Neurospora crassa OR74A: one gene and its partners. The protein of the gene in region 6 purifies or fractionates together with the protein of the main gene of each other region. This does not show direct contact. Links are inferred from orthologs where the notes say so. Each region holds a gene or a part of one and is shown on either strand. Other genes may lie near its edges. The genes, in order: NCU04548, NCU07870, NCU09552, NCU00133, NCU01164 and NCU02539.

The links.
Region 1: the proteins of NCU02539 (region 6) and NCU04548 purify together in Saccharomyces cerevisiae (affinity purification with western blotting; 3 studies listed by BioGRID, with this or other methods). This does not show direct contact. The link is inferred for Neurospora crassa OR74A from reciprocal best matches to the Saccharomyces cerevisiae genes MCM4 and POL2.
Region 2: the proteins of NCU02539 (region 6) and NCU07870 purify together in Saccharomyces cerevisiae (affinity purification with western blotting; 7 studies listed by BioGRID, with this or other methods). This does not show direct contact. The link is inferred for Neurospora crassa OR74A from reciprocal best matches to the Saccharomyces cerevisiae genes MCM4 and POL1.
Region 3: the proteins of NCU02539 (region 6) and NCU09552 purify together in Saccharomyces cerevisiae (affinity purification with mass spectrometry, with the first as the bait; 3 studies listed by BioGRID). This does not show direct contact. The link is inferred for Neurospora crassa OR74A from reciprocal best matches to the Saccharomyces cerevisiae genes MCM4 and TOF1.
Region 4: the proteins of NCU02539 (region 6) and NCU00133 purify together in Saccharomyces cerevisiae (affinity purification with western blotting; 6 studies listed by BioGRID, with this or other methods). This does not show direct contact. The link is inferred for Neurospora crassa OR74A from reciprocal best matches to the Saccharomyces cerevisiae genes MCM4 and POB3.
Region 5: the proteins of NCU02539 (region 6) and NCU01164 purify together in Saccharomyces cerevisiae (affinity purification with mass spectrometry; 4 studies listed by BioGRID, with this or other methods). This does not show direct contact. The link is inferred for Neurospora crassa OR74A from reciprocal best matches to the Saccharomyces cerevisiae genes MCM4 and SPT16.

The regions. Positions count from the first base shown.
Region 1 is NC_026507.1:1,471,471-1,476,074, forward strand, and holds the start of NCU04548 (DNA polymerase epsilon), read left to right. Parts: upstream 1-1,291; 5' UTR 1,292-1,551; coding exon 1,552-2,177; intron 2,178-2,242; coding exon 2,243-2,388; intron 2,389-2,441; coding exon 2,442-4,604. Other genes in the region: NCU04549 (hypothetical protein), read right to left, coding at 1-349. UniProt on the Saccharomyces cerevisiae protein: Catalytic component of the DNA polymerase epsilon complex which participates in chromosomal DNA replication.
Region 2 is NC_026503.1:1,182,050-1,186,639, forward strand, and holds the start of NCU07870 (DNA polymerase alpha catalytic subunit), read right to left. Parts: upstream 3,173-4,590; 5' UTR 2,998-3,172; coding exon 2,709-2,997; intron 2,618-2,708; coding exon 222-2,617; intron 173-221; coding exon 1-172. Other genes in the region: NCU07871 (hypothetical protein), read left to right, coding at 3,781-4,590. UniProt on the Saccharomyces cerevisiae protein: Catalytic component of DNA polymerase alpha, which in complex with DNA primase (DNA polymerase alpha:primase) constitutes a replicative polymerase. POL1 has a role in promoting telomere replication during interaction with CDC13.
Region 3 is NC_026505.1:4,563,671-4,568,260, forward strand, and holds the start of NCU09552 (topoisomerase 1-associated factor 1), read right to left. Parts: upstream 3,282-4,590; 5' UTR 3,113-3,281; coding exon 3,038-3,112; intron 2,978-3,037; coding exon 1-2,977. Other genes in the region: NCU09553 (3-hydroxybutyryl CoA dehydrogenase), read left to right, coding at 3,900-4,016, 4,092-4,590. UniProt on the Saccharomyces cerevisiae protein: Forms a fork protection complex (FPC) with CSM3 and which is required for chromosome segregation during meiosis and DNA damage repair. FPC coordinates leading and lagging strand synthesis and moves with the replication fork.
Region 4 is NC_026503.1:2,735,972-2,740,799, reverse strand, and holds NCU00133 (FACT complex subunit pob-3), read right to left. Parts: upstream 3,227-4,828; 5' UTR 2,980-3,226; coding exon 2,969-2,979; intron 2,813-2,968; coding exon 2,590-2,812; intron 2,534-2,589; coding exon 2,040-2,533; intron 1,982-2,039; coding exon 1,610-1,981; intron 1,553-1,609; coding exon 955-1,552; 3' UTR 691-954; downstream 1-690. Other genes in the region: NCU00132 (hypothetical protein), read left to right, coding at 4,474-4,594, 4,694-4,828. UniProt on the Saccharomyces cerevisiae protein: Component of the FACT complex, a general chromatin factor that acts to reorganize nucleosomes. The FACT complex is involved in multiple processes that require DNA as a template such as mRNA elongation, DNA replication and DNA repair.
Region 5 is NC_026505.1:3,095,602-3,100,355, reverse strand, and holds the start of NCU01164 (transcription elongation complex subunit), read right to left. Parts: upstream 3,214-4,754; 5' UTR 2,651-3,213; coding exon 2,474-2,650; intron 2,375-2,473; coding exon 2,290-2,374; intron 2,234-2,289; coding exon 2,112-2,233; intron 2,041-2,111; coding exon 435-2,040; intron 383-434; coding exon 1-382. Other genes in the region: NCU01163 (GAF domain nucleotide-binding protein), read left to right, coding at 4,261-4,263, 4,399-4,503, 4,592-4,596, 4,719-4,754. UniProt on the Saccharomyces cerevisiae protein: Component of the FACT complex, a general chromatin factor that acts to reorganize nucleosomes. The FACT complex is involved in multiple processes that require DNA as a template such as mRNA elongation, DNA replication and DNA repair.
Region 6 is NC_026501.1:2,663,728-2,668,520, reverse strand, and holds the start of NCU02539 (cell division control protein 54), read right to left. Parts: upstream 3,010-4,793; 5' UTR 2,800-3,009; coding exon 2,475-2,799; intron 2,412-2,474; coding exon 277-2,411; intron 204-276; coding exon 1-203. Other genes in the region: NCU02538 (coatomer zeta subunit), read left to right, coding at 3,474-3,513, 3,594-3,695, 3,780-4,020, 4,094-4,337; NCU11234 (translation initiation protein Sua5), read right to left, coding at 4,575-4,793. UniProt on the Saccharomyces cerevisiae protein: Acts as a component of the MCM2-7 complex (MCM complex) which is the putative replicative helicase essential for 'once per cell cycle' DNA replication initiation and elongation in eukaryotic cells.

The DNA of each region.
Region 1 (4,604 bases), on a different chromosome or scaffold from region 6:
AGCCTTGGCGGGCGCAGGGCGTTTCGTGCACGGAGAGGAAGTCGGAGGGGGAGATGGTGGAGGCGACTTCGGTGAGGGAGATGCGGTTGGATGAGTGGGTGGTGGGTTTTTGTTGTTTTTGTTGTTGTTGGGAGGGTTGTTGCTGTTGTTGCTGGCCTGGGACTACTTGTGGTGTGGTGTTGTTGGACTGTGGTGGTTGTTGTTGGAGGTCTTGAGAGGGCGCAAATGGAGCAGGAGGGGGAGGGGGAGAGCCGCCGCTGCCGCCGCTTAGCCAGGAGCGGGCGGCGGCGTCGGGGTTTGTGGGTGTTGTTGTTGTTGTTGTTGATGATGTTGTTTGGTCACGCGTCATGGTTGCGGTTTGCGATGATTGTTGATGGGACGGGCTTCAGTTTCTCTCGTGTTCCGTCTCGAAAATGCGCAGTTCTGTCAGGGCGCAGAGAAAAGTGTGGAGTTGTGCGTGTATGGTAGTTGTGTGAATATATGTGGAAGTCGCTGGTTGTTATTCGCTTGCTGGGATTGCAGTGTTTGAATGGCAGTCACGATATGTATCGGTAAGGTGATGGTGAGTTGAAGTGACGGATTGAGCAGGGAAACGAAGAAAGTGGAATTGGCCAATGGAGACTGCTCATTGACGTTCTCTCCGTCGTCTTCCGCACGGCGGCCGAAGGTGTCGCGGGGAAGCTTTTTTTTTTCTTCCTGGTGGGGACCTTGCGGGATTACGGGGAAGATGCAGGTACTTTAACGCACTTACATGGGGAACATTAGGCGAGCTACCGTAGAGATTCAGCTTCCAATTGTCATCAGAACTTCCGTCTAACAAACACAAGTTAGTAACATCAGTTACACTTCCGCCCTCAGATTCGGAGCCGGCTACGGGACGAGCTCGTACAATGCCCGACCTTCTTAGGTAGAGGTAGCTTTGACTTGGAGATCCAATGGACGGCAACTTGGACGGAGACAACAATGGAAGGTCCAAGCTCCCGTCCCTCCCGATCGGGCCGCTTCATGATTCGAGCATGCCCGCCCCGGCGGAGGGGCCGTGTCCCGAGCTGAGGTAGGTGGAGGGAGCGTCTGCCGGCGGGCAGCCCACTTCCCCACCGCTCCAATCCTTGTTCAGCGCCTTGACGCCCTGTGAGTGCCCTGAAACGATCAGCTTGACTAGTGGGCAATGTGTGCGTTTAGCGCCCGGCGCGTCAGACAAATTGGACCGTCTACCGTACGTAGTCGCGTCTGGCGCGTCTCCCAGTTAAACGACTTTAATGGGTTCCTGAGACTTTCCAAACATTGAAGTGCCTGCCTCCCATCTCACAACCCCATTCTCTTCACCAAACCAAGGGACCCTGTGCCAGCCATACCTCGAATCTTGGCTGGCCCTCCATGTCAACCTACTTGTGAAAAAGACATATTCCTGTTTCTTGTCTCTCCTTCCATTTCCATCCGACTTTTCTTGGATCGAGAGATCCTACCGAACAGGACGGAAAACGGAGGGCAGACCAAAGCACAAGACGAACATCTCGGGGCCTACGCAAGGGCCAATCCAATTCTTCGAATATGCCCAACACTTCTCTAAGGCGACAGCCTCAAAAGGGCTACCGTCGCGGTGGCAAGAACGCCTACCATGGCGGATCCAAAACACGAACGTTCGCTGCCTCGGCCAGCGCCCGCGGCGAGGCTACCTCGACAGACGAAAAATGGGAAAGGACAGCCCTTGCGAACCAGATCGACGAGAACATGGGCTTTGCCCGATACGATGCCGGGAAGAAGCGCGAAGGCTGGCTGGTCAACGTACAACCGACATCCATCGACGACCCCCGTATCCCCGGCGGCGGCGGTCGCGCGGCACTCGACTGCTACTTCATCGAAGAGGACGGGTCAACATTCAAAGCCACAGTCGAATATGAGCCATACTTTCTGGTCGCATGTCGAAAAGGTCACGAAGGCGAGGTCGAGGAGTGGTGCAAGAGAGTGCCTGGTGGCGGCTGCGTCAAGTCCATCCGGCGGGTCGAGAAGGAAGATCTCAAGATGCCCAACCACTTGCTGGGCTATCGTCGAACATTCTTGGAGCTGAGGTTTCATAACGTGCAGGACTTGATGTCCGCCAAGCGCGATGTCATGCCCATTGCGGAAAAGAACAAAAAGGGCATGGATGCCATGGATACATATGCCGAAGTAGCATCGTGGGTTCCTCTCATGTTATCTGTACAGGCTGATCACCGCTGCTGACACATACCCCCCCAATTAGAGCGAACGGCGGGTTTGATCTTTTTGATGACGATTCACGAAATGACGAGCGACGACATAATGCTGGTTTTGCAGAGGCGAGCGATTTCATTGTTGATATCCGGGAATACGACGTCCCATACCATGTGAGAGTAATGATAGACTTGGGTCAGTTCTCCTTGCACACTCCCCAGCGTGTGTGCTTAGCTGACCATCCACAGACATACGAGTTGCTAGATGGTATCATGTCGAGGCCAAGAATGGAGTCACGACAGTAAAAGTAAACGAGGAACGTTTGGCCATGGCCGATCCCGTCGTAATGGCTTTCGATATCGAGACCACCAAGTTGCCCCTCAAGTTTCCCGACGCCGCTATTGACCAGATCATGATGGTCTCATACATGATCGATGGCCAGGGTTTCTTGATCACAAATAGAGAGATTATCTCCGAAGACATTGCTGATTTCGACTACACACCAAAACCCGAGTACCAAGGTCCGTTTATGATCTTCAACGAACCTGACGAAAAGGCCCTTCTCGAAAGATTCTTCCTGCACATCAAGGAGGCCCGACCAACCGTCATCGCCACCTACAACGGTGACTTCTTCGATTGGCCTTTCGTGGAGGCTCGTGCCAGTATCAACGGCATCGACATGTACCACGAGATCGGCTGGAAGAAGGACAGTGAGGATCAGTACAAGTGCAACTACAGTGTGCACATGGACTGCTTTCACTGGGTAAACCGTGACAGTTATCTCCCCCAGGGTAGTAGAGGTCTCAAAGCCGTCACCGTTGCCAAGCTTGGATACGATCCCGATGAACTCGATCCTGAGCTTATGACACCATATGCCAGCGAGAGGCCGCAGACGCTGGCCGAATACTCCGTCTCCGATGCCGTCGCAACATACTATCTGTACATGAAATATGTGCATCCTTTCATCTTCTCTCTCTGTACCATCTTGCCGCTAGGCCCAGACGATACACTAAGAAAGGGAACCGGTACGCTATGCGAGATGTTATTAATGGTACAGGCTTACCAAAAGGAGATTGTGTTACCCAATAAACATGTCCAGCCTAAGGAGTCCTTCTGGGAAGGACACTTGTTGGACTCCGAAACGTACGTTGGTGGTCACGTCGAAAGTATCGAAGCTGGCGTCTTCCGCGCCGATATTCCCGTCAACTTCGCGGTTGACCCTACCGCCGTGGATGAGCTGATTCGGGATCTTGATGCAGCCCTAACGTTCAGTATTACGGTTGAAGAGAAGAAGGAGTTGAGTGATATCGCCAACTACGACGAGGTCAAGGAGCAGATAACGGCCAGGTTGATGAACCTCAAAGAGACGCCCAATCGACTGGAACGGCCGCTCATTTACCATCTTGATGTCGCCTCCATGTACCCCAACATTATGACAACCAACCGATTACAACCCGATTCCATGATCTCCGAGTCAACTTGTGCAGCATGCGACTTCAACCGCCCAGGAAAGACTTGTGACAGAAGACTACCGTGGGCCTGGAGAGGAGAGTACCTGCCAGCCAAGCGCGACGAGTACAACATGATTCGCCATGCACTCGAGAACGAGAGGTTTCCAGGAAAATACCCAAACAGCCCGATGCGGTCATTCCAAGACCTGAGCGCAGACGAACAAGCCACTCTCATCCGAAAGAGACTGCAGCTCTACTCACAAAAGGTGTACCACAAGATCCACGATTCCACCACGATTGTCAGAGAAGCGATCATTTGCCAGCGCGAGAACCCCTTCTACATCAACACAGTCCGTGACTTCCGTGACCGACGATACGACTACAAGGGCAAGGCGAAGGTGTGGAAGGGCAAGACGGATTCGCTCAAGAGCTCGGGCGCATCCGCGTCCGAAATCGATAATGCCAAAAAGATGATTATCTTGTTCGATTCCCTGCAGTTGGCCCACAAGGTCATTCTCAACAGTTTCTACGGATACGTCATGAGAAAGGGATCTAGATGGTACTCGATGGAAATGGCCGGTGTCACCTGTTTGACGGGCGCAACCATTATCCAGTTGGCGAGACAGCTCATTGAGCGACTGGGTCGTCCACTCGAGCTAGACACTGATGGTATCTGGTGCATGTTGCCGGCGACATTCCCAGAGAACTTTGTGTTCAAACTCAAAAATGGCAAGAAAATGACCATCTCGTACCCATGTGTCATGTTGAACCATCTGGTCCATGACAAGTTCACCAACCACCAGTACCAGACTCTGGTCGATCCAAAGACCTTCAAATACGAGACGCACAGCGACAACTCCATCTTCTTCGAAGTCGACGGGCCGTACAAGGCCATGATCCTACCCACCTCCAAAGAAGAAGACAAGAACTTGAAGAAGAGATATGCCGTCTTCAATGACG
Region 2 (4,590 bases), on a different chromosome or scaffold from region 6:
TCAAGGCGAGCTGCTTGATATCCCAGGTGGCGAGCTCTTCAGGTGTGGCATTCTTGTCTTTCATCAGAGACTTGACCTGCCTACGTCGGCTAACGAGTGTGGCAATCAGCTTGGGAAGAATGCCCTGCGCCTGCTCCTTGGGAACCTCGGGAACAGCATCATCGTCCTCGGACTACTTTGCATTAGCTTGTGACGTCAACGGAGGAAGGACCCTGACTTACCAGTGATGTTCGATCAACTGTGGTAAAGCAAATGTTGTACTCTTGGATGATGGAAGGGTAAAGGGAGTTGAAGTCCATGACGAGAACGAACTTGTCATAAAGACCCTTTTCTGGCTCGAAAACCAAACCACCCTTGTATTTGTCCTTCTTCTTTCCTCCTTCTCCGCCTTCCTCTTCTGCGTTTTCCTCCTCGATGCGTTGCCGACCCTTGAAGGTCTGCTTGTCCGGGACGACATATTTGTTGCGGTGGAATTCGTGAAGCAAAATGTACTCGTTCCGCTCAGCACGCGTACCGGTAAGTGTTCTTGCCCACGAGTTACCAGCCAGGTTGGTGAGAACCTTGGTAAGAGGAAGAATTTGAGTCCTGAGTGCAAGAGCCGCGATGAAGTAAGTGTCAGTCTCGGCGTGGGAGATGTAGTCCATCAAACCATGTTTGTCAGCGTTAGCCCACGTCTTCAGGGCGACTTCGTTGTCGATATCCCTCCTACGACTTTCGCCTCCCAGATACAGACTGCACATCTCGGTCAAGGACCAGGTCTGGCACTTGGTCATTACTGATTTACCGGCATCGTTAGCAAGATCGCATAGCAGACGGCCAGACATTATCTGACGTTCGGCAAATACATTGCCACCCATCTTAACAATGGACGAGGGCCACTGAGAGCGCCTGAGTCTGCCCAAACGAGACCATTGATGTGTCTTTTTCTCGTGCAGCCGGTTCAGCAAGATGCTGTAGTCAACACCTTCTAGCTGGTGGCCAAGGATAACGTCTGGATCGACAACATCGATCTGTGCGAGCAAGAAATTCAAGATCTCGTGTTCCTGCTTGAAGAGCTTGAGCACACCTCTGTTTCTTTCCTTGGCAAGCGTCTCGAAGCCGATAGGAAATGCGCTACCGTAAGGTCTAACAGCGGTGAAACTACGAGAAGCAAGCTTGTCTGGGGGAGTGGTGTCACTGAGCGACACATCAAGGTAGACTCTCCCGCTAACCGCGAGAATCTCCTGCTTATTATCCTTAGGGTTGAACGCTGTGCGCATAGCCAGGCTTAACAACGTCAAAGGAGGAGGCTCAATACTCTCGGCGTTATCCGGGACCGACACCATGTTGGGATGTTCTACCAGGACCTCCAGCTTGCAGTGCGAAGCATTCCTCAAGGAAGTGAAGTCTGCATCCTCGATCTTGAGCCAGCAGGGGCCCATGATGTTCTTCCAGAGCACAAACTGCTCGAACAGAGCGGTATTGGTACCAAAGACGTGGGAGAAGGTTTCGCCTTTGTGGGTGGGTTCCATCGCAGGCTTGGTATATGGGTAGAGGAGCTTCAAATACTGGCTCTCCTTGGGAACGTCGGGAAGCTCGAATGCGTACTTGCGGGTGCAAGCCTTGATCTTGTGCATGCCGACATTCATCTTGGTCATGATTTCATCAACCTCGTTGTAGACGTCCATCATTTCCACCTCTTCTGTTGTTTCCTCGCCACCTCGCACACGGTACTTGCGCGGCAGGAAGAAAAGCTTCCGGAGAATGTTGTCAACCTTGACAAAGCAGCTGACGTAGGTTTTGGTCTTTTTGTTTAGGACCTTGCCAAACAAGCACAAACTGCCGTTGACCTCTGTGTAGTCTGTCCAGAACATGTTCAAGCTGCCGTCTTCTTCGATAGCGTCCTTGTAGTCAATCTTGCCAACGCTCCTGCCCTCGCTTTGTGACATGGATACGACATTGAGCTTCTGATTGATCTCGTTCCAGGAAGCAGCGTCGACCTCTGGCGCTGGTGCCCTTGCGGGTGACGAACTGGCCGGGACGGGCTCTGTCTTGAGAATCTTTTTGATTTGACGGGATGCTGATATGTTGACGCTGGCGGCTGTTACCGCTCCAGTATGGGCAACCTCCATCATGTCCTCATCTTCGTCCTCATCATCCTCATTCTTTTTGGGTTCCGGCCTGCCAAACGTCCTCCGTGTTGCTACTTTGGCGGCCGGTGAGGAGGGCATGATGGCGTCGCTCATAAGATAATCGGAGACTGGTGCAGGTTCGTCGTCCATAGCAGGCAGGTAGTCGTCGTCTGGTAGAAGGTCGTCGTCTCCTGCTGGGGATGATGCCCGATCATCGACTGTCTTGGCTCTCTTTGCCATGGGTGGCCGAGGTTCCCGTACCGGGGAGAGCACCCGGACCTTTCTCCTCTCGACTGATCGATCTCGCTTCTTGGATACTCGTGTGACCGGGACGGGGATTTGTGCGGTGACCTGGTCGATGAGGTCGTCCAAGAACTTTTCATCTTCTTCTGTTTTGATGACCTTTTGTTTTGGTGGGGCTTTGACGGCGCCTTTCGTGAAGTATTCGGTGATGTCTCTGTCGTTGGCATCTCGTTTCGCATCTTCATGTTCCTTTTGTTTCTTGGCTAAGAGGGAGGAGAACGAAGGTCAGTACCAGAACCAGAGTGCTTTATAAGTTGCTCCCATCGTCGGGTTTCAGCGTCTCGATCTGCTCACACTTGCGCGGCTTGCTGCCGGGTAGGCCTAATTCCTCCTCGCTGTCGCTGTGGTACTGGGGGAGACGGTCCCATTCTTCGCGGCCGTCGTCGGCATAACCCTCGCCATTGTCGTCAACCACGAAATCGTCCTCGTTCAAGCGGTCTCTGACGATTTTCTTGTACTGGTTCTCGTCGACTTCTTCGTAGAGCTCGTCGATCTCGCCGACGTCGTAGGTCTTCTTCTTGCCGGACTGGCGCAGTTCGCGCAGCTCAGCGTACTTGTCTCGCTTGGCTACTCGTCTGGACATTTTGACAGGCCGTTGTGATGTTGCCTTTAGGATTGGAGATTGGATGGTGACGAGACAACAGAGGAGCACCAGGCCAACACTCTGGAGAGAATGTCGACGGGGCCACCGTGATGTGGTAGTGTTGGTGACAAGAGTCGTAAGAGAAATATAGTGGGATTACAGGGTTCAATTGGTCCCCTCCAGTAACAAAAAGAAAGTCGCGTTTAGTTTCGTTACTCGTCGCGTACTTTACTGTAAACTGTAAGCGCGAACCCTTGTCCCCGTCACGGTCGTGTTTAAGAGGTGGGGCAGTTCTGCTGCTTTGGCCTAAGCGGATACCTAAGGAAAGCAACGTAGTGGCCCACGTACATAGTGTACGTACCTTTCAGCAACGGGGCCCCTGTCAGTGTACCTGATGCCGACCCCCGACCCACCGCGTCTCCACAAGTGCAAAAGGCCGCGGCAGGCATTTTTGTAGATCAGTCTCCAAAATTTCGGAATGTCATCCTAACTTTTGGCCATCATTCACGGTCTCCATCTCAGCATCATCCTCCGTCCAGAGTCCAGGGCAGTTGTGCGCCCGCCGCAGCAAAATACCAAATATCGATTTCTTCCCGGGCCATAGCTTTGATACCACATCGCCCAATTCTCAAAGTTGTCTAGAACAACAGGAAATCGTCACAGGAAACTCGACGATCCAGATACCCCACCAACCGACCATTAGCAACACAGGTACCTCGGCCCGTACCTCGCAGAAGAAAAAGATTCAAAACAATCAAGGGCAAACTCGGTTGTCCGCAAACCATGTTTGTGTGCCGGGCTTGTCTGCGGAAAGGCCTGGCTCCTGGAGCTTTGGCTAGGATAAATGCGCCTGCAGTTGGATCTCGTCTGGCCCTTCCAAGGTTAGGCGCACTTACACCAAGCCAGTCCACGACCACCATACGATCCTACCACTTGCCCGCCCTCAAGCCAAAGACTGCCGCCGATCCCTCCGTTACCCTCGATCTCGAAGCGCCGGAAGGGGAAGAAGATGGAGACGGGTCGGAAGGGAAGAGGAAGAAGAGGGACCTGAGCGACGAGCAGCGGAAGAAGCTGGAGCGCAGTGCGGCTTTACAACTAAAGCACTTCAAGGATCCCTTCCACATCGAGAAGCAGGTCAAGTTGACCCTTGACAAAGGAAAATATGAAGAGGCCCTTGTTCTCACCCGCAAGGCCAGCAAGAACGCAAAGGTCCAAGTCTCGTGGAACCATCTGATCGACTACCACATGAAGAACAAGCGTCTGTCTGCCGCCATCAAGATCTACAACGAGATGAAGAAGCGCGCCCAGGTTCCAGATGCCAGGACTTACACCATCATCTTCCGAGGCTGCGCCATGAGCGAGCACCCCAAGCAGGCAGTTGCAGAAGCCGTCAAGATCTACCACAGCTTGCTCAGGAATGAGCGCGTGAAGCCAACCACAATTCATCTTAACGCTGTCCTCGAGACATGTGCCCGCGCCGGCGATTTGGACAGCATGTTCACGACAGTACAAACAGCCAACGAAAGCACGCGCAAGCCCGACAACCTGACCTATACAATCATCTTCAATGCCCTTCGGGCCCAATTCAACCCA
Region 3 (4,590 bases), on a different chromosome or scaffold from region 6:
CGCTTGCGTGCACGTACATCTCACTCTTGATCTTCCTAATCTTCTCCAGCTCCTTCTCCCTCCTCTTCTTCGCACGCGCAGCCAACACTTCATCCGACACCCCCTCATCTTCCTCGTCTCCACTACCAGCCTCTCTTCGGCGCTTGCGCTGACGCTTCTTCTGCGGCCTAGCGTCCGGCTTGCGAGCGGTAGGACCGCCGGGCGCAAAGAGAAAGTCTTCGTCGTCATCGTCACCGAGGAATCCGCGAATTTCTTCCTCATCATCGTCATATGCGGCACGCGTCCTGCGAGAAGCGGCGGCGGACTTGCGCCGGAGCTGGTCTTCGGCTGAGCCGCCGTCCTCAAAGGTGGGAGGGGAGAACTCGGCCTTGTTGATGAGGTCGATGGTATCTTGGATCGCCTCGGCGGTGTGGCTGCCTGGGAGAATCCAGGTCGAGTCGGGGGTCTCGTCGAGAGTAGGCGTGAGACGCTCCATACCGACTAGACGCATGAGAAGACGGAGGTGCGGGTTCTTGAACATGGCTGTGCGGCGAGCCTCGGTATCAGGGCGGATCGTGATATGTGGTGGTGCTGATTTGTTGGATCTCTCGTCGGCAGCTTCACCATCAGCCGCCCCCTCGGTAGTGGCTGCCATGGCCTTGTCTACGTTCTCCCATGCTTGCCGCTCACTCATTGCACTTGTCAGCTGATCCTTGAGCCACTGCAGATGCTCGACTTGCTGTTTGTCGATGAGTACGCTGACCGCAATGCCAATCTGCTCGTCGCGCTCTGTGGCTCGCTTGAACTCCAGCTCGGCACCAGGTCGTGGCGTAGTTGTGGTGACAGGCTTCTCATAGCCGTGCTCAAGGAAGTGCGTCGTGCTGCCAATCTTGGAAAAGAGCAACTCGGTGAACAACGCAGGCCGCTCTTGAAGCTTTTTGACACATTTCCGAATGATCTGCTTGGAGAGCTCCTCCCATTCCTTGAACATCGGCGAGCTTTTGTCGAGGGGCTCGGGACCTTGGACCATGTTGTAAAAGAGATTGATGATGTCTAGTCGGAATAGCATGATGCTCAGCTCGAGTTTGAAGGCAACGCGGTAGAAGTAGCGATGAGCGCGCTTCAGCTGTGCGTCGTTCAAATCCCGGTAGAATTTGGTGAAGGCGACAAATGTGTCGACAACACCCTGGGGAGCGAATCGAATGGCGAATTTCCCAAACTCGAACTTGCGCTCCTGAGTGACCCGCTCTGCATGTTGCTCATCGTCCCCAGAATCATCGGCATCATTGTCCTCGGGAACGCCAACGTCTTCTGCTTCCTCACCGGCGGCTCTAGCTGCAGCAACAGCAGCAGCAGCTTTGGCAGCCTTCTTCTTTCGGCGAGCTCGCTTCCGTGAGCGCACCTGCAAATCGACATTTTGCTTAGAGTAACCTTCTAAAATGCGGAGGAAAGTGTGGACAAGCTCGGTCGCGGCATCAAGATATTCGAAGCCTTGATCCTTGTATGTTCGAGCAATATTCGCGATAAGGTCGTGGGTTGTCTCCTCGTAAAAGAGACGGCTCAGGGTGTTTTCGGCAATCTCCTGGTCTTCCTCGTTGGGAGACTCTGACATCTCCTGGACTGTGAGGAAGATCTGGGTGTAACAGCGCATGACGGACGTGAGCAGTTGCCAATCCTTATCACTATAGGACCGGTCAAGCGCACGATTCATGGAAGCGAACATTTCCTGTTGGAGCACAGCAGCAACGAGGTTAAAACTGTTCACCTCCTCTCCGGCTGCGGACGTCGACTTCGACTCGTCCCTCTTGGCCTTTCTCCGCATCCGCTCGGCTTCGAGGAACCAGGCGACAAGGTAAAAGAACTGGCTCTTATGCTGGTTCAATGCATGCAATGCCTCCCGATCGATCGATTGCCTCACGTGCAGAAACAAGGGGTTGAAACCGGAGTCGAGGAAGTCTTGGACGAATGATCGCAGCTGCTGACGAGCTCTTTCATCTAGCGTCACCGGAGGGCCAAGGTCCTTGGGCTCCATCTCGGGTTTCCTCGCTCTTCTTGGCGGTCTGAATGTTTTGGAGTTATCCATCTTCCTCTCTCGCGTTTTTGCGTCCAAAAGAGCCTCTTGGCCAGATACCGTCACCATCTTGCCATCTGCTCGTTTCACCCAGATCATGGTCCCAAATCGACTGTGCCGAGTGGTGGTGGTTTTGTTGTAGGATTTTAGCATAGCAGCCTCCTTGCGCATCTCCGATGCCAGCTCTTGCCCCTTGGCTTTGTTGAGTTGCTTTTCACTGACGAAGAGCGAGCTGGGGTCAACTCTTTTTACAAGATGAAAGATGATTTCCATGATAACTACATCTTCGGTGCGGAAGTCCTCGCCCATGTTGGAGGCAAGGGTCAGCAGAGTGAGAAATATGTCTTGATACGAAAAGGCATCAATGGTTGCCGACCTGGATACCTGTGTCTCGTCGCCTTCGCATTTGACACCTTGCGGGGGTGCGATCATGGCAACGTTCCTCAAAAAGAAGAGAATGAGCTTGATGATGGCCTGGTCACGGGGTGTCCGCTCGCCGATAGGCATGGCCATGGAGGGAAGGGCTACCCTGACGGCGGTGTTGAGGATGGGTATCGCATCGAAGTTTATGATGGCGCGCTTGTAGCCAAGCTGGGCAAGCTGCAGAACGGGCATGTGACGATGGTGGTTGATGGTCATTTCGGCGCGCTCCTTCTCTATGGGCCAAGTAAGGGGCACCATGACCTCGAAACACGCCAGAGCAATACGGGCCTTGTACTTGCTGTCGGTTTCGCTTTGAGGCCATAATGTCAGGATCTGGAGCAGATCGCCGCCGACGAGGTTCGCTTCAGCCAGACATCTGGCGACGTCCATGCGATTGGTCTTTTCATCGTAGAATCGGATCCATTTCTTCAGGTCGCGCAAGACGTCTAGCGCTTCGTCACCGAGCTTGTAGCTTCCATCATCGTCCGCGCTGTAACCACCGAGCTATTCGGGTCGCCAGAGTCAGTACATCCGTGTATATAACGAGTCCAGAAGTGGACATACCGCAGAAACCAGGTTGGTGATGTGCGCCCGCACTTCCGGATGGACGACATCGTCGTTGATGTCTGCGGCCTCCATTTTGCGCAGAAATCACGGCGTCCAAGACCAGAACGGAGTCATACGAGTACTAGACAGACTCTCCCCAACTCTCAGCTTGTCTTGGAGGTCGTTTTGTTATCGCATGGATGGTGGCATTGGTCGGGCGCACTTTGTCGGGACGGGACACGCGTTTGTGGTGGTGGGAGACGCGCCGACCGTGTCGTACTTTTTAATGGAAATTGGTGGTATCTTGGTCTTGGCCTGCTTATCTCCCCAAGCGTTTTGTCGGACTGTTTTAAGATACCTGGGTAAGTAGGTACCTAATGTACCTAGCTACCTACTAGAGATACCTCTGCAGCAGTACCTGTGCACCCCGATTTCGACCTCGTGGAGAGCTGCGGAGTTACCCCTGTGGACGGGCAATCAACGACAGCCGAGGATCTTGAGTTGGCGCGGGAATCATGCCCGCAATTGCCCCCCCTGAACGACATGCTTGTACCTCTAGGTAGCGTACATAGTACTCCATACGCGCTAAAACCGACCCCATTTTCCCCGCCTAAGAAAAGGCTAGAGCCGCCCGTAGCTCCTGTACGGCAGTATGTTATGTCCCCCCCGTGGCCCGGGTCGGGCTTGTGACGTCGAGTTGGAGACGAGGACGGCCGAGGTTAACCGAATCCGACAACTTCACATCGTCGCATTCGCATTCTCTAGAGGTGCCCTGGTTGCCTACCTAGGTGTAGTCTTCCGATTTTTCTGTCCCTTTCCTTTCAGTCTCTCTCAGTCACAGTGTCTGCTTTGTTTACTTTCGCCGTGACGATCTCGCAAAATGCTTGCTAGAACCCTCGTCCAGAAGCTGCCCATGGGCGCTCGCGCCTTCAGCTCGACATGCGCCCGCAACGCTGCCGAGGTCAAGAGGCTCGGTGTCGTTGGCGCCGGCCAGATGGTGAGTCCGGCCCATATCATTCATGCCCATGTCTTCAACAACGGCAACGGCTGACTTGTCCTCCTTCTCCTTTAGGGCCTGGGCATCGCCCTCGTCGCCGCCACCAAGGCCAGAGTCCCCGTCACCCTTGTGGATGCCTCTGAAACGTCTCTAGACAAGGGCCTTGCATTCGCCGACAAGCTCCTCAGCAAGGATGTGGCCAAGCAACGCATCACTCAGGATGAGGCGGACGCCGCCCGCGCGCTCCTCCAGCCCACCACCATCCTCGAGGACCTGGACAGCGTCGATTTTGTGATTGAAGCTGTGCCTGAGATTCCCAAGCTCAAGTTCGACATCTTCTCCAAGCTGGCCGAGATCTGCCCTAAGCACGCCATCTTAGCCACCAACACCTCTTCCATCTCCATCACGCGCATCGCCGCCTCAACCACCAAGGACCCCAACGACACCTCCAACAGCTCGCGCGTCGTGTCCACGCACTTCATGAACCCCGTGCCCGTTCAGAAGGGAGTCGAGATCATCAGCGGTCTGCAGACCAGTCAGGAGACGCTTGACACGGCCGTCGAGTTTTGCAAGA
Region 4 (4,828 bases), on a different chromosome or scaffold from region 6:
GTGCTAATCGGGTACTTTTGTTTTTCCCTGCTCCGGGACGTGAAGATCGAAACAGGCAGATGCTTCCTTTGGGCGCGGTATCAGGTCTCAAAAAATACCAGGACGAGTGAGAATAAATTTATCACGGTGCAGGTGTGGCTGTCCGATACAGCACCAAGGAGAGGCCGTGAGCTGATGATTGGCACCAATCAATGGCTTCTGGACTGGTCGACAGAAAACAAAGGGAGGAGGAGGAACGCGGAAATGGGTCATACCCACCGCCTTGGTGGGGCTTAACTTTGGAGCCGAATTAAAGCCCGCCCAGCTGAATGGAAGTCTGCCGAAGCGCACTCAGCAGGGACCGCTCCGCATCAACCGAAGTGCCCACCGGGCCACGCAGGGCACCACTATGTACACTAGAAGGAATGTGCATCCTAGTGTAGTGTAGACAGAGCGGGAACGCATAGAGGTAGGTACCTACCTACCAGGTAGGTAGATTTTTGACCGCTAGAGCGATACCCACCTCAACCGCCTGCACGCCCTGCAGGCTGATACATTCCATGCCGTACTTTTGGAGTACGGCCTCTATCCATCCTGCGGCCCTGAAGAAGAAGCGAAGTCTCAAAGGATGTGCCGATGTCTTATGTTCGTTGTAGTCGAAGGGGAAAAAAAAGAACCATAACGGATCAACTAGGTAGCTGACCATCTGCCTGCCGCTCTTCAGTGTTCATTAGCTCCATTGCGCGCCCAAGTTGAGGGAACATCGAGATACTAGTTTGACACTGCCGTTGGGAATGTCGTCTTTGACGCCCCAAGTATCGTATCGATATATGGTAGAGAAAATACAGAATTAACACATATTCGTGTCACGAAAGTACCGGAACGCCCCAAATACCCAGCTGCCTGCCTGCCTTCCAGCCTGTGATCTGCCTTTTTAATCAAACAAGTAACGACGCGCCAACATGAAAAATAAACCTAAGCCGTCTTCTTCTTCTTCTTGGGGCGCTTCTCTCCCTCGTCATCATCCATATCCTCATCCTCATCATCGACCCGATTGTCGACGTCGCTCTCCTCGCTGCCCGACCCATCACTCTCATGGTTGCTGTCGTATTCCTCCGCCACGTCGCTTTCGGACTCAGCCTGGAAGTCCTCATCCACGCTCTCCTCATCCTCGTCAGCGGAGCCACGATCAGCCTTGGGGCCGACGGCCTCTTCGTCCGAGCTAGCCATGTCGTCATCGCCCAAGGCGGCGGCAATAAGGTTGGTGTCATCATCAATTTCGTTCTTGACACGCAGTCCTTTGAGCTTGAAAAATTCCTCGAGAGCCTTCAAGTCTTCACGGTTAATGTTGCTGAATTGGGATGAGCCCGCGCCGTTTTTCATGTGGACTGTAATGTCGAACGTCGACAATGCCGAGACCGCACCGCCCACGCGTGAAAACGTGATGGACTGTGTCTGTTCGTATGAGATGTACGTGGCCGGCTTGGGGACAAACATAAACGCCTTCTCCAAGCAGTAGAGGAATCCTTCACTGGCTTTGATAGAGCACTTGATGCCGTACTGCTGACGGTGCCTGCGGGTTCCTAGGTCAGTACCGTTGCTGGCTATGAAATGAACAGATATAACTCACGTTGTAAAGTCCTTGGCTGGTGTAGTGACTTTCTTGTTCGCAAGTCCCTTGAAAATGTACGCCACAACCTGATGAAGTGGTTGCTCGTAGTGGCTCTGAAGCTTGTCCTTGTATTTTCCGTTGAGTTCCTCCTCGGTGATGTTCAGGTCAAGAGTCACCTCTTCGTCCGCCTTGAACTGCATCACCACAAATGGATAACGTGTTTGACCTTGACGAAGGGGCGGGTCGAGACCAATGCAAAGCAAGAAATGGAGATCGTCCGGCTTGGGAAGCACCATAAATTTCTTGATAGCATCGTATTGGATCTTGTAGTCGTATGTTTTGCCACGGAGACGGAAGGAGGCATCGTACATGTCGATGTCGAAACGTCCTCTATCGGGAGAGTTAGCACCGGAAAAGGATCAACAACCAGCGTGCAGTTTCCACGTACCTGGGCGTGAGATGTAGCACATCGAGGAATGTAGCGATAGTATCACCCGCCGTCTCACCAATCTCGGCCTTCTCAATAAGGGTGTCGTAGAACAGAGTCACGGCGTTCTTCTCTTCTTCATCGGCGTCGCTACCAGCCTCACCACCCTCGGCCTCCTTTCGTGTTGTCGTTCCAGGGATGTAGAAGCGCACCTCGACCAGCTGATCCTTGCCGGCCGACGCCTTCTTGCCCTTTCCGCCTGTTCCGCTGTGACCGTTCGACTTGCCGCCATCGTTGCCGGCGAACTCGACTGCGATTTCGTTCCTTCCGGCAAGATTTGTATTGGAAATCTCGGAGTAAGGAATCTCAAAGGCCGGTCGGTTTTGGACGTTGAAAGTGAGCTCGGCTTTGCTAAACTCAGCCTTGCCCCAGTTCCATCCTCTCAGAGAGTGTTCCTTGTTCTCGAGGTTCACGCTGTACCAGTTCTTGAAGATCTTGCTAAGGCGCTCGTAATCCTGTGGCAACACGTCAGCGTTCCTTCGCTTCGATGGCGCGTGGATAGGTTTCGTACTTCTTGGTGGAAACCATCGAGCTGAACTACGCCAGAGCTTCGCAATAGGATTTTAACCTCATAGCCCCTCGCCGCCCTGCTCCATTGAGCACCGCCGATGTTGCTCGAGTCGAGAGTGAACGCTTCGCCGCCACCCGCAGGTTTCCATCCCAAGCCATTTTCCGCGAATCTCGACTTTCCGCTCTCCTTGGACAGATCCAAGTAGATATTGTCAAAACTCTCGCTGTAAATGAAGGTATTAGAAATGGCACTGAGCTGTGATCTCCGCCGGTGAAAGCCGTGCCCTACGGCGTAGATGGAGCGGGGCACATCCGTCGTCGCAGGGTTAGACGAGCAAGAGCGCGCGAAAGCATGAAATCCAGAAAGGTATGCGACTTACATGGCAGCCATATTGCCCCTCTATCCAACTGGTTTAATGGTGAGTTGGGGTTGATGGACAAGTTGGAAATGGCGTCTGATGTTGTGGCAGTGATTGCAAAGTGTTGCAAGCAAATACTGATGAACAATCCAACTGAAGGTTCGCGTGCCTCGGAGAAAGTTGACCGTGTCGCGACTAGGCCAGTTCGTTAATTGAAGGTTAATTCGGCTGGCAGGTGGCATTCCGCTGGGCTAGGCGACGACCCATGCTGGTGGCAGGTGGCAAGTCGCAGTACTACTGTACGTGTAGGGTCTACGCAGTGGGCAACAGCTTGGTTGTAGCGCGTGGCAACTGTGAGCTTCTGATTTCTCTCCCAAGCCTGCAAGAACACCACCACTTTATTCAGTTGTCACCTTCCAAGGAAGCTTTGCCAACGACACACAGGCCTTCTTGTCGCTCTGAGAGTCATTCACTGTTTGTATCATCTTGAATGTCTAAAAGAAACTGCGTCCTCTTGTCCTCCAATCTGTCGCGATCTACAGTAACACAACACCTTCCATTCTCTTGTAGTTACGGATCAACAATTATGTTGGGTGGTTTTTTCACATTTGAATTCTTTGTATCTCGCTCCTTCTTGCTTGTATTCGTTCCGCTAGTGCTCGGCCCGTTGAACACGGGAGGGAAAGAGGACGTTCCAAGCGAGTCGCTTCGTTACGTGGGAAAAGTGTCCCCTCGCGACAAGCGTTCCTTGTTTGGTCAGAGCATTTTGAAGCTTTCAACTGGTTCCAAATATGCCACTTGGGTTGCCACTCTCAATCTACTAAACAAACTCAACATAGCTTCGGTTCATGGACATGGGCGCGATTCCCAATATCGTCAACCCCCCAAAAAGCATGTGGGGCTAGCGCGTGGAGCTTTAAGTGGTTGCATATGATATCTTCCGCGCCTGTTTCATGACATGGGATTGTATTAGAGGTACTTAGTCACCTTAAGTGGTAATGTTCTCTGCCTTGTACCACTTCTTGATCTCTTTCTTTTTCTTCCCTTGAACACAAACATAACTCTCAAGTTAGTTCGTTCTTGTTGTGCCCATTGGCTGTTTCACAAGGGCGGAAGACTCGCTCACCGAAGGTGACAATTCCCGTCGTAGACGTTCCTGCCTGCGGCCTTGACCTGGAGACCACGAGGGGCACTTATACGCCACCCCACGATTGACGTATTACATGCTTGAACTGGTGGCATCCCGCACACCCGCTCAAGCTGCCCCGCCTCGACTTCCTTCCGTCACTCGTCTGCCCTGATCGTCATATTTCGCTCGGTTTCTTTATTCAAACAGAACGAAGCTCTCCTTTGTTGCCTGGGCCGTTTGTTTGCCTGCTTCAATTGAACCTTAGCTGGAGCTATTAGTATACCGAACTTCCGACTTGCACACTTACTTGGCCCCCCAAGGATCCCAACGAAGCTTGAATCAATCTTTCCACCATCAATCACTCTTGTTGCCTTGTTGTTTCTACACCTTTTCAAAGATGAGCTTCGAGCGTCCCCTCCGTGGTGGCTGCCAATGCGGCCGCAATCGTTACATCATCCAGTTTCCGCAAACCACTACACAGGCGGCGCAAGTCATCTTCAACCCACCGCCTTCTCAATGTAGGAACCTGTCCAGCGATACTGACTCTCAGGAAATTCCGATCACTATCTCCATTTTGCTAGGAGTATAGATCATCTGACCAAATGTTGCCAATGCAGATATCTCCCATGCCTCACCATTGGCTGCTTTCCTGCGGGTACCTTTGCCATGGTACCATAGCTCGACGCTCTCGTTTTCTCCCGACGAAAGGACGTCGATGATCCATCGCGCCTACACTTCGCCCTTTGAACAGC
Region 5 (4,754 bases), on a different chromosome or scaffold from region 6:
AGCTCTGCGCGGCGCCGGCGTTCCTCCTGTTCAGCCTCGAACTCATCCTCATCACCATAACGATACTTGCGCTTCCGATTGCCGGTCTCGTCGAACTGGATGTCGGTGGCTTCCCTGTAGAATTGGACATCCTTCGTCTTCTTCTTGTTTCCAATGATAATGGGATCCTTGAGGTGGATGTGGATGATCACAATCAACTCGTGCTGACATGGTTGGAAGAAAAGGTGGCGAACGTTGGAAAAGAGGATATCCACGCGTTGCGTTGTGCTGAGAGGTGACTGGTAGCGAATACCGTTCTGGTGAATTTCCACCTTACCAGGCACACGCTTGCCCTCCATGGCCGGCCGGATGAAGACATTATCCAATACGGCGGGCCGACGGTCTGATAGTTAATTAGTATGTTGCAATACAATTGATCCGGGAAAGCGACTTACTTCTGATTTCAACGAGCTTGTCCTGCTCAACTACGTCCTCCATATCCTTCTTCTCCTGCTCCTTCTTGACAGCGTCTCGTTTGAGGTTCGAGATTTGGTTTGCAATGTCAGCATACCTATCGCCATCGGTTGATTTGAAAGTCAAGCTCCTGACGAAGTGCGCAGATGCATCTTCGAAGGGCTGCTCATCCTTCCGACCCACACCCTGGCCAGGAGATAGGAAGTTGATTCTCAAGAATGACCACTCGCCCTCGTCACTCTTGCTTGCGTTCTTGATGGTGTTGATATGGAAGGGTACCGGCCTGCCCATAACAGGCAGTACTATGGTCGCGTTCTTTTGATCAATAACGATGCCCATATCCTTAACCTTGGGCGGGAATTGATTATCCCGCTTGTAAGATTCGAAGCGCTTGAACTTTTTGATTTCGACGCCATTCTCATCAGCGGTAGATTCGGCGTATTTGGCCAAGCCTTCCTTCTGTTTCTTCTGCGCGAGTTCCTTCTGATGCTCGCGACGTCTCTTGTCCGCGTCCTCATCTACCGTTGTATTACGCTCAGAGCGTAGACGAGTGCTAGTGATGTTCTTGGTTGCAACGGCACCCACCCTAGAGTCCCGCTTCTCCTTTTTCGGTGTGGGCTGTGCTTCTTCCTCATCTTTGAAGAAGAACGAGGTGGCATCAACATCGACAGGCGCCTCGCCAGTAAACACCACCGGCTCGGAGCTAGTGACACGGATCGTATCGGAAAGGATCAAGGAATAGACCTTGCTGTTCTTGTCTTGGGGGTTGGGGTTCTGGATATCACTGAAGCCGGTGGTCACAACCAGTGTCATGCCATCCTTAAGGGTACGGGTGTTCTTGTTGTTGAGAATCAAGGTCGGGTCCTTGTTCTCCAGGCCGATTCCAAAGCCGACGTTCTTAAGAAAGTGCTTCTCAAGATCGGGCTTTTTGGACCGCACAAAGTTGTAGGCCTTGGTGTAAACATCCTTGACAATGGCACCATCCCGGATCTCCTTGAGAATGAGGTTGTGGACAGCAAGTAGGAACTTGTAGTTGCTTTCTTGGGACTTGTTGGGATCGACCATGAAAGTTCTGGCGATTTGGGAGCAATAGGACTTGTATCTGAGACCCATAGCCGCGATGATAATTCCCGGGTGGAGTATATCATTGTCAGAATCAGCCTGCCACTTCAGGTCAAATTTGCCACCACTTTGGACGATCGGTCCCAGAATCCAGTCCAGCTGCTCGGGATCGAGGTCAGCCGGGAGCTTCTGTCGGTTGGGCAGCTCGACGGTCTTCCAAAACTTATCGTCTTCCAGTTTGTTGAAGACCTTATCGGCTAGTGCGCTGTGCTTGATCTTCTTATCTTGGTCGAGGATATTGGACATTTCGTCGAGGAAGTAAGGGGTCAGGAGGGCGACGCAAGCCTTGGACGAGGTCCGCATGGCACGAAGCTCGGTCTCATCCTTGACGGAGAAGGCGCCAGCAGACAGAGCCTGGGCAACGTCAACCTCCTCCACATCCTTGCAGTTATCGGCATAGACCTTCTTCCATTCGTCGATAAAGGGGCCCTTGGAGGTGTCCTTGGTAAGGACGCCAACCTTCTTCTATAACGAGCGAAAATGTGTTAGAACCGCACCGAGATGTTGATGTGCGCCCAGGATGGGATGTAACTTACGCCCGCAGCCTTGATGGCATCCGTAATTTTGATGAAAAGCTTCTCGTTCTCGGCGGCGTCCTTCCCCCGCACGAGGACCTCAACGGGGTATCTGCCGCCCTTCACTTGGTCGAGGTACTTGGCTATTAACGTGTCAGATAGTTTGTCCGCGTTCTTGGGTCGGGAATACCGGGCGAACCTTTCTTTTGGGTGGTGAGAATGTAGATGGTGTCGAGGGTAAACAGCATGAGGGTCGTCGGGAACTCGTAACCTAGCAGCCAGAACTTTACGTAGAGCTATCAGCAGCTGTCATTTGACTGGAATGGCCCGCCAGACGTACAGCCAGCGCACGCCGAGCGGGCTCTCCAGAGGGCAAAACTCACATGGATAGCGTTGTTCTTGTGAAACTCGGGGTTCTCGTCGACCTTGCCCATCAGGATGACGATGGAAGAGACGCCACCGAAGAGAGCGTCTCCGGAGCGCTTGTCGGCCTTCCAGGCATTGTAGAAGTGCGAGACGCGCTCCTGGAAGACCTTGCTGTCGATTTTGATGTCTGCCATGATGAGCGACGGCACAGCGGCGCGCGATTGAAGATGGCAGAAACAATCAAATCAGCAGAGGTTTGGGTTTGGGTGAAGTCGTGCTTTTGGCGAGGGGCTGCTTGCTCTGGTACTGACGGTGGCGGCAGACACCCTTCAAGATGACAGAAACAAGGCTACCACACCTCTCCAGCCGGCACTGCTAGTACTTTACAGTGCTTGCCAGCCGGGATCCGGTTCCAGGCCAAAGACACAAAAATTCCCGTGTCGCGCGTCGCTCACGTCACGGGCCACAGCTCTTGGCGCCCCTGTCCACTGCCTTCGCGTTAGGATGCCTAAGAGGTTCTGTTCTGTGCCTGAGGCAACTATATATGCTGGTTGCCACGGCAATGGTGATATTCCTGAAAGGTCTGTAGTATGGGAATCGTAGAGAAGTATATTGATGAATGATGGAAATAGACGAGCGTAAATGGTGTCGTCGGGACTTCCAACAACTTGCGATTCTGTTAACTTTGTAAGTCGAACTTGTACCTCTTTCTTTAGGTGCCCTGCAGCGAGTGCATGGAGATGAAAGAGGGACAGGCGGGACAGGGCGTGGAATGGAAACAGAGGGACGGGAGGGGTGGAGCTAAGTTTCCAATGCACAGGTACGATTAAACTAAGTCTTGGCAAGCGATGGAAGCTCTGGGGTGCCGAACTTCTTCCATTTAAATACTAGTAGACGTACTAACCAGAACTCACCTTTCTTTACTTCGACGCAAAGAACGTCCTCAGCAGCGATCAACCTAGAGCTGATACCCATGTCAACCTGAATGAATAAATGAACGAGTGATGGCAATCACTGTGCGAAACGACAGCAACACTATCTTCAAGAATAGACTCGACGGGCCCAGACACCGCGTACAAGTGCAAAGAGCAATGTCCAAGATGCCGCTCGGAAAACCTGTGATGTTTCACATCTATACTTGATAGATCGGCATTCTGGAAGATACCGCCATGAGATGGAAAAATTGGCTAACATCTGCCCGACGGGAAACTTTACTGAATGGTGGAAGACGACGAACTGTGCCCATCGAACCAATCACTTGTCCGTGATTTGACGTTCACTGCAAAGCGAGCTGCTGTACTGCAAAAATAAGTAGTTCCCGCTGCCGTCTCGACAACCATTTGGGCATCTTCTGGACCTTGGTTCGGGTAACTTAGACAGCACATCATAAGGTCCAGATCACTAATAGAAGACAAGCTGCCATCAGCACAACTTCCGAGAAGGGCCCTTGAGCTGTATCCTGCCCAGTATGAAGCGAGGACGAGCCTCCCACACCATCTAGTAAGTATCCGCACAATTATCTTGGATTCCTTTATCCGGCTGGTGATTCAGTCCGGTCCTCTTTGGGATCGAAACCGTGAATCCACCGGAGGCCACTCGGGGCCGGCCCATCGGCTGCCGGTACGGCGGCAGTTCCGCACGGACCCGACCGGAGCAGTGCCATTTGGCCCCACTTCCCCGGATTCAGAAGTGAATGACAAATTTCAAAAGTTGAAGTTCGCTTCCTCGGTGTCCAACACCACCACTCTAGGTCGATTTTCAAGATTTGTACATAGAAAGAACAGGGTCATAATAATACGTCAAAATGGTTCGTGAACAGTTTCAATCAGTCCAATCCTTTGTTTCGAGACAGTTGAAGACCTCATCGCGCATACCTACCTACGAACTACAGGCTTCTCCAAACTTGAGGACGGTTGAGACTAACACGGTATTCGTCTTATAGGTTCACGCCGACGCTTCCAACTTTGCTGCCAACGTCACCAAGGAAGAGGCCTACCAGCAGGTTCTTGACCAAGCTGAAGGTCTGTTCTATGAGCAGAGGAACTGGGTAAGATGAGGAACCAAGCCTGCTTGCACCACCACATCAGGAAGGGACAATGTCTAAAAAGGTGACCTGAATGATTGACATTCGTTAGGTTTGGTAAGTCGACGTTGGCTCCCACATGTACCCTACAGCCCCTTCTCGGGATGGTCCGTCCTGAAAACAACAGATGGAACGTACAAGATCCTCATTGTAGTGCTAATGTACTCTTTAAAAAATAGCAATTTGTCCAACTGCGCTGCCCTTCTCTGGCACGC
Region 6 (4,793 bases):
TTTGCGTGCGCCTCGGCTAAGCGAATCATGGACTCGAGCTGACGTGTGGTGGCCGTAATGCGCTTCTCGGCGGCGCGCACGTCTTGGCCCAGCTTGCGCATCTCGACGTAGGCATCGACGAGCTCGCGACCGGCTTCGGGCGTGAGGGCCGGGTGGATGTGCGAGCGGGCGTAGGAGATGTAGGAGGTTAGAAACTCGACGGGCTGTTTTTTTGAGGGGGAGTTGGTTAGTTTGGGGTTCATCTTCGTGTGGATTGACAGACGGGGAAAAACTCACAAGGACGTCGTTGGCCTGCTGGGCACTCTCGGGCTTGTCTTCGAGATACATGGAGAGCAAATGGCGGGCCAGACGCTGATCATTCTTCTCATCAACACGATCGAGGATGAGGTAGACCAGATCGAAACGGGATAGAAGGGTTGGCGGGAGGTCAATATTTTGCGGCACTGATAGATCAGGGTTGTATCTACTACCAATGGGGTTGGCAGACGCCAGGATTGATGTTCGGGCATTGAGAGTGGTGATGATGCCGGCCTTGGCGACGGACACGGTCTGTTGTTCCATGACTTCGTGAAGAACGGAGCGGGTCGATTCGTTCATCTTGTCGAACTCGTCGATACAACAGACACCGCCGTCGGATAAGACGAGAGCACCGGACTCTAGAACGAGTTGGCGGGACTCGGGATCGCGGGTAACATAGGCGGTAAGACCTACGGCAGAAGAACCTTTACCACTCGTGTACACACCTCTTGGGGCGATTCTGTGAACATAGGAGAGAAGCTGGGACTTGGAAGTGGATGGGTCACCACAGAGGAGAACGTTGATGTCTCCACGGTATTTGGGGCTTCCACCCTTCTCAAAGGTCTTGTTCGTGCCTCCGAACAGTTGAAGAAGAATACCCTTCTTCACATCATCCATCTCGTAAATTGATGGAGCCAAAGAACGTGAAAGGAGATCGTAGATATCCGGTCGAGCGGCAGTTTCCTTGATCCTCTCTTCCTCATCAGGAGAGACCTTTCGGACTTCGTCCATGCTCTGGCCATTAGCATGGGCTTCCTCCTCCTCGGCAAGGTCGAGGGTCGAGGGATCAGAACCCATCCTCTTGCGGTCGACCTTTTGTACATGGACAACATCAACATATGTCTTGTGCACGCTCTTGACCGTCCTCATGCGCGGGTTGACACGAACGGGGGTGACTTTAAAGATACCAGTGAGCTCAACTCTGTCACCGGCCTTGCAAAAGTCCACAAGCTCGTTATAGACGCAAACGGATACCGAGTGGGGTGTCTGACCAGCAGGCACGTTATCCGGAGTTTCTTGCAGCTTGATGACTTGCTTGTCTTCGAAAGCACATCTGTTGTGGATGATCTGCATTGAGTTCTTGGAGGCGCAGCGAGCCCGAGGACACTCTGTAGGCTCACGAATCTTGCCACGATCTAACTGAACGGTTATAGAATGACCACAAACACTGCACTTGAAAAATGCATCCTTCATGTCGGGGATGACCGGCGTGGTTCTGATGACAAGACCCTTGATGGACACAAGCTTGTCCATGTCAGATGGGTTGAGGTCACGGAGGTTGGTGATCTTGTCAAGACCCCACGGGCGAACCACATACGCCATCTGGCTGACTTGGTCCTCAATTGTGGGCGCCGCTGTTTGGGCAGGCCGCGGGGTGGGCGGTTCCTCGCTCCTTTCAGAGCTTGGGAAGTTCGGCTCCGAGCTTTGTGAGGCACCTGGAGCGGTCCTAGAGTTTTGGGATGCTCTTTGGCTGGCCATTTCCTTTTGCGCCAACTCCATCATACAGTCATGTACGCATTGATCCATGACCGGGATGATTTCGGTAGGATAGTGTTGGGCCTGATGCCATAACTTCAAGGTGCGCGGGTAGGACTTGAGGTCGCGGAGATCCAGATACAGCTTGTTGGTACCAAGCAGCAGCATATTCTCCAGTGCCTCCCAATATGGCTTCGAATCCGCATCCGGATGGCCAATAGTCTCGGCCTCGTCCGCGCCATCTGCCCACATCCGGTATTTCCTGGTGAAGTTCCTGAGAAAGTCCTTGAACGCGGAGAACGAATCGTCAAGAGAAATTGTTGTACCCCAAACAAGACCTTGGCTTTGTCCACCAAGGGCATCTGCCTCAGAGGTATTGGGGTTATTGGTGACAAACGAGTTGGCATCGGAGCCAGGGGCATCGCGGATCACACGACCGGCGTCGTCGAGGATGATTCGGCGGGGAATCTGGGCGGGAGTACGAAGAGGGTCCCCGTTGATGTCGCCTCGACGGGATCGACCGGCAACGGACCTTTGCGAGCTGACGAAGAGCTGACTGCTTTCGCTACGAAGATCGGACTGTTGAGTAAGCTGACGGCCCGGGCTAGAACTGGAGGCATAGCGGATGGGAGAGGAGTCTGCGGAGTGTGGTCAGCATTCAGTGTAGTCCTTTTTTTTTTTTTTTTGGTTGACAGCCATACCCCCAATTAACTGGCTCCGTCCGTTTGCGCGAGGAGTTCGGTCAGCATCGCTCTGGGTCTCTGTCTGCTGGCGCAAAGGCGAGCTCGGCGCATTGCCTTGGTGGGCAGTGCTCTGGGTATTGCTCATCTGCCTCAAGGGAGAAGATACCGGGGCGGCGCCATTGGCAGGCGAGGAGGGCTCGTAGAATAAGGGACTAGAGGCAAGCTGTGATGCGCGTGTCTGGCGAGGAGTTGCGCTCGAAGGACCAGCCTGCGAGCTGCGAGTAGTGCGGGGAGTAGCTGATTGGGAGCTTCTCGTTGTTCTGCGCTTTGCTGGGGAAGACATGTTTACTACTCTGTCCTCGGTGGTTTTGTTGAGATAATACAAAGTATGGAAACTAAACCAACAAGAAGGGACAGAAGACGGGCAGGTTGGGATGGAGACGCTGGAGTGTTGTTGTGGCGGCTCCCGATCCCTCTGTAATTGCGAGGTGGTTGGCAGGTCGGCAGCGTGTTCAGGACGGGCAAGGTGGATCACGTTCCTATCGAAAAAAAAGACAGTCGCGACACACGCGTCTCTGATAAAAGCACTTTACACGGCCGTTCGTGTCTGCGGGGGCTTACTCGCGTTGACCCATTAAAACCCCTGTCATACCCAAATGAGACGGACGAGGCCACTGCAGTGCTGCTCTTGAGTGCGAACTGTCAGGTACGTAAGGTACGTACCGCGCCGTGGGGCCTCGCTTGGAGTGTTCGCTCTGGATTCAAGCCACATCACAGGGACCGCTTCACCCCACAATACCCACGCTCACCACGGTAACCAACGATACCGCCTGCCCCTGGTCATTGTGAGCACTACCTACCTACGCAGCACCTCTGGAGTTCAAGCTAACCACTATATACCTACCCACTTGCGCCCATTGAAGTCGAGTTGCCCCTCGTCGCCGACCTTCTCCAACCGATACCAGTCTCGAGACAGCAATTGATCAAGAAACAAGAACCCCCAGATAACCAGTCAAGATGTCGCCAGGAATGTCGCTGTATAGCGTCAACGCTATAGGTACACTAGGCACCACGCTGCTCCTGGGTCCTGGCTTATACGCGCCACGTCGAGCAATGTTGACAATTGCGTTCCAACAGTAATCCTCTCCAGCGATGACGGTTCGCGGATATTCTCAAAATACTACACTCCTCCTCACGCTGCCGCTGGCGCACCAGGAACAGGAGTGGCCGCCGGACTCGGTACGCAATAGACGCTCCTTTTACCCCTTATTCGGTGTCGCATGTTCCCGTAAGGCTGACCAGCCCGAACCTTGTGCACAACAGCTTCCTCGAGCGCTTCCCAGAACCCCTATCCCGACAAGACTTCTCAAACCCGTTTCGAGAAGGGCCTCCTTCAGAAGACAGCTAAGCAGACGGGCGATATCCTCCTCTACGACAACAAGGTGGTGCTTTACAAGATGGAGTCGGACGTTGCTATCTACGTCGTTGGTAGCGCGGACGAGAACGAAGTTCTGCTCTACAACGTACTTTTGGCGCTTAGGGACAGCTTGCATATGCTCTTCAAGTGAGTATTTATGGCGAACGTGAAGGTGCCGGTCATGGGACATGATTTGGCTAACCACGGACTTTCTACTCAGGCAATCGATCGACAAGCGCACGATAGTCGAAAACTACGATCTGGTATCCCTCGCTATCGACGAAATCGTGGATGACGGCGTTGTTCTCGAGACCGATCCCACCATCATCATTCAACGATGCAGCAAGGCGCCGCCTGCCGATGTCAACCTCAGCCGCCTCGACCCCTTCACCGAGCAGGGTGTCAACAACTTGGCACAACTAGGCAAGGCTAAGCTTACTGACTGGCTTCGTCAGGGTCTCTAAGGGCATGTGCGGGTGGGTAATGACAAGGGAAGGAGTGTGGCGGATGGGAGCAACCAAGGTAAAGTTGGCGCATTGGTTCGTAAAAAGGTATCAGGCCCTTTTGTTTGGCGAGCCTTTTTATGGCAGAGTAATGAGCCAAAGGCGAAGCAAAAAGACACGAAAAGCCAACAAGTGATGGGTTAGCAGAAAACAGGAGTTATAGTCTTTTCCCTTGCGATCTATAGGGTTTGACCCCGTCTATATTCTAATGTCGGAAGCGGCTTTCCTCAGCCTGTTCATGACCGCCGCCGCGATATCGTCTCCATCACTCACACCCTCTACGAATATTACATCCGCGCCGCGCCTGTCCAGCTCTCGGAGGGCAGCGAAAAGGCCATGTGCCACCCCCTTGACATCGTTGCCCAGATCAATCTCCAGAAGCCTTGCCAACACCGTGGTGCCGTCCTCATCCAGCCA